Linked DNA regions of Oryctolagus cuniculus. The protein of the gene in region 1 binds, or shares a complex with, the protein of each later gene. Links are inferred from orthologs where the notes say so. Each region holds a gene or a part of one and is shown in the gene's direction. Other genes may lie near its edges.

What was found. Proteins that work in one complex are often made in the same cells at the same time.
Region 2: the proteins of RLIM (region 1) and UBE2E2 are in contact, whole or in part, in a crystal structure (PDB 6W9A), measured with the Homo sapiens proteins. The link is inferred for Oryctolagus cuniculus from reciprocal best matches to the Homo sapiens genes RLIM and UBE2E2. Residues at the interface, in NP_057204.2 of Homo sapiens: Ser571, Val572, Cys573, Ile574, Thr575, Cys596, Arg599, Trp600, Pro608, Ile609, Arg611; in NP_001357154.1 of Homo sapiens: Lys52, Thr55, Lys58, Arg59, Lys62, Pro112, Asp113, Pro115, Phe116, Ile142, Asn146, Trp147, Ser148, Pro149, Ala150, Leu151, Thr152.

What each region holds. Positions count from the first base shown.
Region 1 is NC_091453.1:54,291,825-54,295,474, reverse strand, and holds part of RLIM (E3 ubiquitin-protein ligase RLIM), read left to right. Parts: coding exon 1-1,508; 3' UTR 1,509-3,650. UniProt on the Homo sapiens protein: E3 ubiquitin-protein ligase.
Region 2 is NC_091435.1:159,120,099-159,123,748, forward strand, and holds part of UBE2E2 (ubiquitin-conjugating enzyme E2 E2), read left to right. Parts: intron 1-2,905; 5' UTR 2,906-2,991; coding exon 2,992-3,167; intron 3,168-3,650.

The sequences.
Region 1 (3,650 bases):
CAACAAGAAGTGGGCAAAGAGGAAACCAGTCTTGGAGAGCAGTGAGCCGGACTAATCCAAACAGTGGTGATTTCAGATTCAGCTTAGAAATAAATGTTAACCGTAATAATGGGAGCCAAAATTCAGAGAATGAAAATGAGCCATCTGTAAGACGTTCTAGTGGAGAAAATGTGGAAAACAGCCAAAGGCAAGTGGAAAATCCGCGATCTGAATCAACATCTACAAGATCGTCTAGATCAGAACGAAATTCATCTGAAGCATTAGCAGAGGCTCCACCTGCCAGAGGTCTGAGGAGGGCAAGAAGCAGGAGCCCCGACCATCGGAGAACCAGAGCGAGAGCTGAAAGAAGCAGGTCACCTCTGCATCCAATGAGTGAAATTCCACGAAGGTCTCATCATAGTATCTCATCTCAGACTTTTGAGCATCCTTTGGTAAATGAGACTGAGGGAAGTTCTAGAACCAGACACCATGTGACATTAAGACAGCAGATCACTGGACCAGAGTTGCTAAGTAGGGGTCTTTTTGCAGCTTCTGGAACAAGAAATGCCTCTCAAGGAGCAGGTTCTTCAGACACAGCCAGCAATGGTGAATCCACAGGATCAGGGCAGAGACCTCCAACCATAGTCCTTGATCTTCAAGTGAGAAGAGTTCGTCCTGGGGAATATCGGCAAAGAGATAGCATAGCTAGTAGAACTCGCTCAAGGTCTCAGACATCAAACAACACTGTCACTTATGAAAGTGAACGAGGAGGTTTTAGGCGTACATTTTCACGTTCTGAGCGGGCAGGTGTGAGAACCTATGTCAGTACCATCAGAATTCCCATTCGTAGAATCTTAAATACTGGTTTAAGTGAGACTACATCTGTTGCAATTCAGACCATGTTAAGGCAGATAATGACAGGTTTTGGTGAGTTAAGCTACTTTATGTACAGTGATAGTGATTCAGAACCTAGTGGCTCAGTCCCAAGTCGAAATATGGAGAGGGCAGAGCCACGGAATGGAAGAGGGAGTTCTGGTGGTGGTAGCAGTTCTGGTTCCAGTTCCAGTTCCAGTTCCAGTTCGAGCCCTAGCTCCAGTTCCAGTTCCAGTGGTGAAAGTTCAGAAAGTAGCTCAGAGGTGTTTGAAGGCAGTAATGAAGGAAGCTCATCATCAGGCGCCAGGCGAGAGGGTCGACATAGGGCCCCGGTCACATTTGATGAAAGTGGCTCTTTGCCCTTCCTTAGTCTGGCTCAGTTTTTCCTCTTAAATGAGGATGATGATGACCAACCTAGAGGACTCACCAAAGAACAGATTGACAACTTGGCAATGAGAAGTTTTGGTGAAAACGATGCATTAAAAACCTGTAGTGTTTGTATTACAGAATATACAGAAGGCAACAAACTTCGTAAACTACCTTGTTCCCATGAGTACCATGTGCACTGCATCGATCGCTGGTTGTCTGAGAATTCTACCTGCCCTATTTGTCGCAGAGCAGTCTTAGCTTCTGGTAACAGAGAAAGTGTTGTGTAATTAAGATCTGAACTTTCAGCTATGTAGCTGGTATAGTGATGGGCAAACAGGAATCACTTGTTTTATGTCCACTTTTTGAGTGGTGCTTAAATGTAAAGTAACAACCTGAATTGAGTCATTGCTTTCTGAAGGAATCATTGTCCTTTTTTGCAGTTTCTGTCCCAGAACACAAGGAAGCATTTAAAGAGCAACATTTTAGGATCTAACAATCTGATTTCAGTACCAGTTGAATTGATGACATCTCTGTTACTGATAATTTGTATCATATACACTTGTTGGTTTCTCCTTTGTTATCTTAAAGGATCTGCCTTAGCAATGGCTCCTATCTGTTTCATGTTGATCTTTATGTAAAGTTTCCCATGCCATAGGAGAGAGAGGGGTGAAGGAACTTCCCACTTTAGGCTAAGTTACAGTATGTGTTTCCTAAGTGATTACTTAAAACTGTACCATTCCCAGTTATTGACACAAATTCAGCCACATTCTGAGTATTGTTTGTTCACCTTTCAGACTAGGTGATACTGGACATGTCAGTGTAAATAACACTAAGGTTAGAATCCTCTAAGTGTATAACTGTCTCCTAAGCCCATCACTGTGGCACACTGTAGAGTGAGCTTATAGTTTAATTGAGATATTTATCTTGTGGAAATATTAAAAAGCCTATGCTTGTGTAAGTGAAAAAAATCACATTCATTTGTTTAAAAATGTAAAGCTATTTTGTAGAGGCTCAGTACTTTTCCAATGCACTGTTGTATTAATGCATAAAAAATTGTAAAGTACCATGCTTAGAAATGAGAGAACTGCTTTTTGTGAGCCAACATAGTTTAAAAAAAAAAAAACACACCAAACAAAGTACAAAGCTGCTTTTGTAAGTGTGTAGGTGTCAAGAGCAGAACATATCTATAATATTTAATGTATGTGAACAGCTACTGTGACATGCATAGGATAGGGCCATGCAGAGTCAAACTGCATTAAAGACCAATGGAAATTGTGTGTTTAACTTGAATTTAGGCAGGAAATGACAGATTGGAGTCAAGAAAACTGCTCTGAGGAGCATAAAATTTTCATGTAGACAGTAATAATGCAGACAACAACTGGTTCCATACAGTGAGAGCAGCAGCAGCATGACTTGGCATTCTACAGGAACATATGAGGCAGATCGGCAAATTTGGCAGAACTCTGGTTGCAGAGACACAAACCACTACATCAAGTTAAGTTGATGTTTTTGCAAGTCTGCACCTCCAACAGTGGAGGAAAGAGACTACAAACCACTTTTAGCATAAATTGCAGTTGGTACAGATGTGTGTGCTCATAGGAAAGTCTCGAATTTGCAGTGTTTTTGAGATTTGCCATTTAAGGTACTAGTGCACACTTGCTAATATTTCATCACAGTCTATCGCAGACTTAATATCTTGCATATGATGACCAGGTGAATTAAGGGATTTTTTTACCTTTCCTTGAAAGTGTATCATTTTGGCTTAATTGAAATTCAAAATTTAATTGTGGTGTCCATATTTGAAGATGAGACAGCTCACTCACTATGGACAGGCACTTTATGTTTTCTTAGTAGTAAGAGTAAATAATGATAACCCCAGTACTTTTGCCTAATTCCTCTCTTAAAGCTGGTTGGGGTCAGTCTGTGGAGCAGGTACTTGTTTTTCTGGGAAAAGCCAATAGGCCAGAAGAGGGCTTGAACACGTCCTTGGCCTTTAGCGAAATGAGCTAACTACCCAGACATAGTCAGATCCCTCTACAGAGTAAACAAGTCTGCTTTAGGAATTGTTCCTGGCTACCTTCACTGTTAGCAACTTCACTATAAAGATTATTTCAGAGTTCATTATCTCATGTTTTCTTCTCGCTTTCAATCCTACCTAAGTATCAAGGAAGTTAACTTGTAAATATGGTAGTTGTTTACTAAAGGATATGTACTGCTCTTGCAAGGAAATAATGTTCAAACAAAGCTTCACTTATTTTTTTTAATATAAGCAGATTTCACTGTTTATGGCGCTTATGTAATACATTTTATCTTTTAAAAAAAATTGTCCATGCAAAAGTCAGGATTCCTTTATATTTGTGAGCCTCCTTGTCTCCTTTTCTAAGGGTGTAACCTATGGTTTTCAGATCTGCAGGGTAGTCCTGATTGGC
Region 2 (3,650 bases), on another chromosome or scaffold:
AAATGATTTCTTACTCATTTCATGTTTCTTAAAATATTGTTGGCAACACTTCGCTATATCTGGATGCCTTTCTCTGAGAATTATTCTTTCTGACTCCCATGCACATCTGCTCTGACATGCTATTGTGTACATACTGACAGTGTTTTAAACTTCTGACATTTTAATTGAAAGATGTAAGCGGAACAAAAAAACTAATGTTCAATCCAAGAATGATAATTTAAAGTGAAGTAAAAATTTTAAAAAAGCAAGAAATATGGTAGGGTTTTTAGCGCTACATCTGAAACCTACTGATGTAAAACTTGAGCATTCTATTAGGTGACTTTCGTGTTCATAACAGATGTCACAGCTGTGGGGCTGATGCTCTGCATTTGCAGAAGAGAGAAGGGTAGGGAGACATCCCAGCAGTGCGTTTCAGAGCTGTTTGGGCAGGTGTATTTTTGTTTGGCGTAGGGAAATGGCTCCGTTTTTTGGAGTAGGGGTGGGTGGTGTCTCAGTGAAGACATTGATTATTTTTCTCGACTCTTCACCCCTCTGTGCTTCCAGATTCTCCCACTCTGTTGTAGTGCTTTTTGCTCACCTTGTTAAAGGACTGTATTCCAAAATGACTTTGGTTTAGAAAAATCTGCAAAAGTTAGTCTTTGGTGAAGTTGCATTTTTATCCGTGTCAACTAGCTATTCACACAGATTCAGTTAATTATAGTATTGAAAAACTATGTGAGAGATATCTTTTACCTATCCTATACCTACATCCAGTCATAAAAGCAAATTTTATTTCACATCTTGATTTGATTAAGGGGTGGTAAGAAGTATCCTTTTCAGGGCCAGCATTGTAGGGTAATGGTGAAGCTACTGCCTGGGACACCAGCATCCCATATGGGTGCTGATTTGAGTCCTGGCTGCTCCACTTCCTATCCAGCTCCCTGCTGGTGGCCTGGGAAAAGTGCTTGGGCCCCTGCCACCCACGTGGGAGACCTAGATGAAGCTCCTGGCTTCCGCTTGGTCCAGCCTTAGCTGACCAAAACAACCCTCAAAAACAAATGAAACAAAAAGTATCCTTTTCAAAAGGAATTTTGTCCTGTTTATTGTGTTTTGGTAAAGGTGTATTTTGTGGTGTTGATGGTGTTTCTTAAAACATAGGTAGTTTTGTTCTTTAAGGCAGTGTTGAGAGATAGCTGTATGGAGTCCAGGTGGCCGTGAGGTGACTGCGCCATGGAGGGCACAAGGCCTTGTAGCATCTCAGAGCATCCCTTTGGCTAGGGTAGTTCTGCATTTGTCACAACACTCAGCTGGTAGGATTGTAAGGGAGGTCATGGTAATCAAGCGCAGCAATTGATTATGATAGAAGGACACTGAGGGGAGGGAGGATAGTCCTTTAATTTACCAGGATTTTTTTTTTTTTTTTTTTGGTCTCTGCTATCTAGGTTATAAAAGCTGCCGAGGTACCAAGGTATTGAGGAAATTTAGTTGATAATCAGAGTTGCTTGGAGAACATGAACTTAGAGCAAAGGGAATTTGAAAACCTTGAGGGACATTTCTTCCAGACTGTGGGGCAAAAAGGAGTTCTTCATTGTCTGAATACTGTCACCCTCCCTTGTGAAACGTGATTGCTTTATATGCTGGAATCGGTGCTGATGCTGTCCTGTGGTTCAGGCTTTATTTAGATCAAGCAGGCCTCTGTTCTTAGGCTGTCATGAAGGTTACTTAAACTGTCTGCTAGAGGATTCCTAACCTGAGTTCAGCCCTGAGGATGTATTGATTGGATGTGGATGTGAAAGTAGCCCTTATTTCTCTGTATCTGTGGATTTGTGCTAACCTCTGTTGCGGCACTTAGCAAGCTGGCTTACCTTGTAGTTCAAAATTCTCACAGTTGTGGGGCTAACAGGTTTACCACAGTGCCTGGTATAGCAAGTGGGCCTGTGTCCTTTTTTTCCCTCCTTTCCTTCTCTTATTCTTTTTAAAATAATCTCTTTATTAAGATATAATTTATGTATTATACACTAAATCCTTTAAAAATGTGTAACTCTGGCTTCGGGGGGCCAGTGTTGTGGCACATTGGGTTAAGTTAGCTGCCATTTCCAAAGCTGGCATCAGTAATGGAGTGCTGGTTCTAGGCTCTGCAGGGCTGCTCTACTTCCAATCCAGCTCCCTGCTGTGGTGCCTGGGAAAGCAGTGGAAGATAGCCCAAGTACCTGGGCCCCTGCTACCCACGTGTGAGACCCTGTTGGAGTTCCTGGCTCCTGGCTTCAGCCTGGCCCAGCTCCTGCCATTTGGGGGAGTGAATCAGCAGACGGAAGATTTTGTTCTATCTCCGTCTCTCCTTCTTTGTTACTTGGCCGTTCAAATAAATGAATAATTCTTTTTTTTTCTAAAAAAAAAAAACCCTTGTTTTTGCTGTATTGACAGTTTTGCAACATCACCGTTATCTAATTTAAAGGCATTTTTATCACCCCAACCTGTATTCATTAGCAGTTAGTGTGCATTTTTCCCTCATTCCTAGCCCTTTTTCTATGTCTTTGTGGATTTGCCTATTCTAGATAGTTCATAGAAATGGAAACATACAAACTGTGGTCATTTGTGCCTGACTTCTTTGACTTGTGTGATAATTCAAGATTCATCTGTATTGCTATGGATACTGTACACCATTCCTTTTTAATGGCTAAATATTAATCCGTTATGGGTCTACCACATTTTTATTTCCCTTTGTCCGTGGACATTTGAATTGTTTTTGATATTTAGGCTATTGTAATGATGCTATGAACATTTTGTGTATGAAATTTGCATTTTCATTTCTTAATACATTTTGAATGGATGAAAGAAAAGTTTTGGTAACTCCTAGCACTGTTTGTTTTTGTAAATGACTGACTGAATCCATTTTATATTGCATTTTACTTGTTTTATTTTTTAGGCTCGCTTTCTTGTGTGGAAGTACCTTACAGTAGTCCTCCCCACAGCTGAATAAATAATATTTGCTTCTTTAATCAAGGATCTAAAATGTCCACTGAGGCACAAAGAGTTGATGACAGTCCAAGCACTAGTGGAGGAAGTTCTGATGGAGACCAGCGTGAAAGTGTTCAGCAAGAACCGGAACGAGAGCAAGTTCAGCCCAAGAAGAAGGAGGGAAAAATATCCAGCAAGACGGCTGCTAAATTGTCGACTAGTGCTAAAAGGTACCTCGGTTGTTGCAACTTTTTAGTTCTGGTGTCATTTTATCCTCTTAACTTCTGCTTTTCTGATGTGTTTAGTCATTTTTTTCTGAGATGTGGGCCATGGATTTTTCTTTCCCCTTTAAGGTGACCTTTTTTAGGTGGCTTTAATTTTAGGGAACTTTTTGGTACTTAAGTCAGTTAAGTGGTATGTCAGATTTATAAAATAAACATATATTGTTAGAGAGGCCTGGACAGACATGCATATAAGTGTATGATGGTTTACTTTTATGGTTAATTGATCATTAATACTTTTTTTCTGTTTAGTAGCAAAGACGAGAGATTAGTAATCTGTTTTAATGATGGTGGAATGATGCCTTATTTTCTGCTACTTTCTCTTGGTTAAGTTAGAAGTGCTGAAATTATTAACAAGTGCATCTTGGTTTCATTACCTGATCAGTCTTGATACAGATTTTTTTTTTTGATTTCCCTAGAGAATAATTAAGT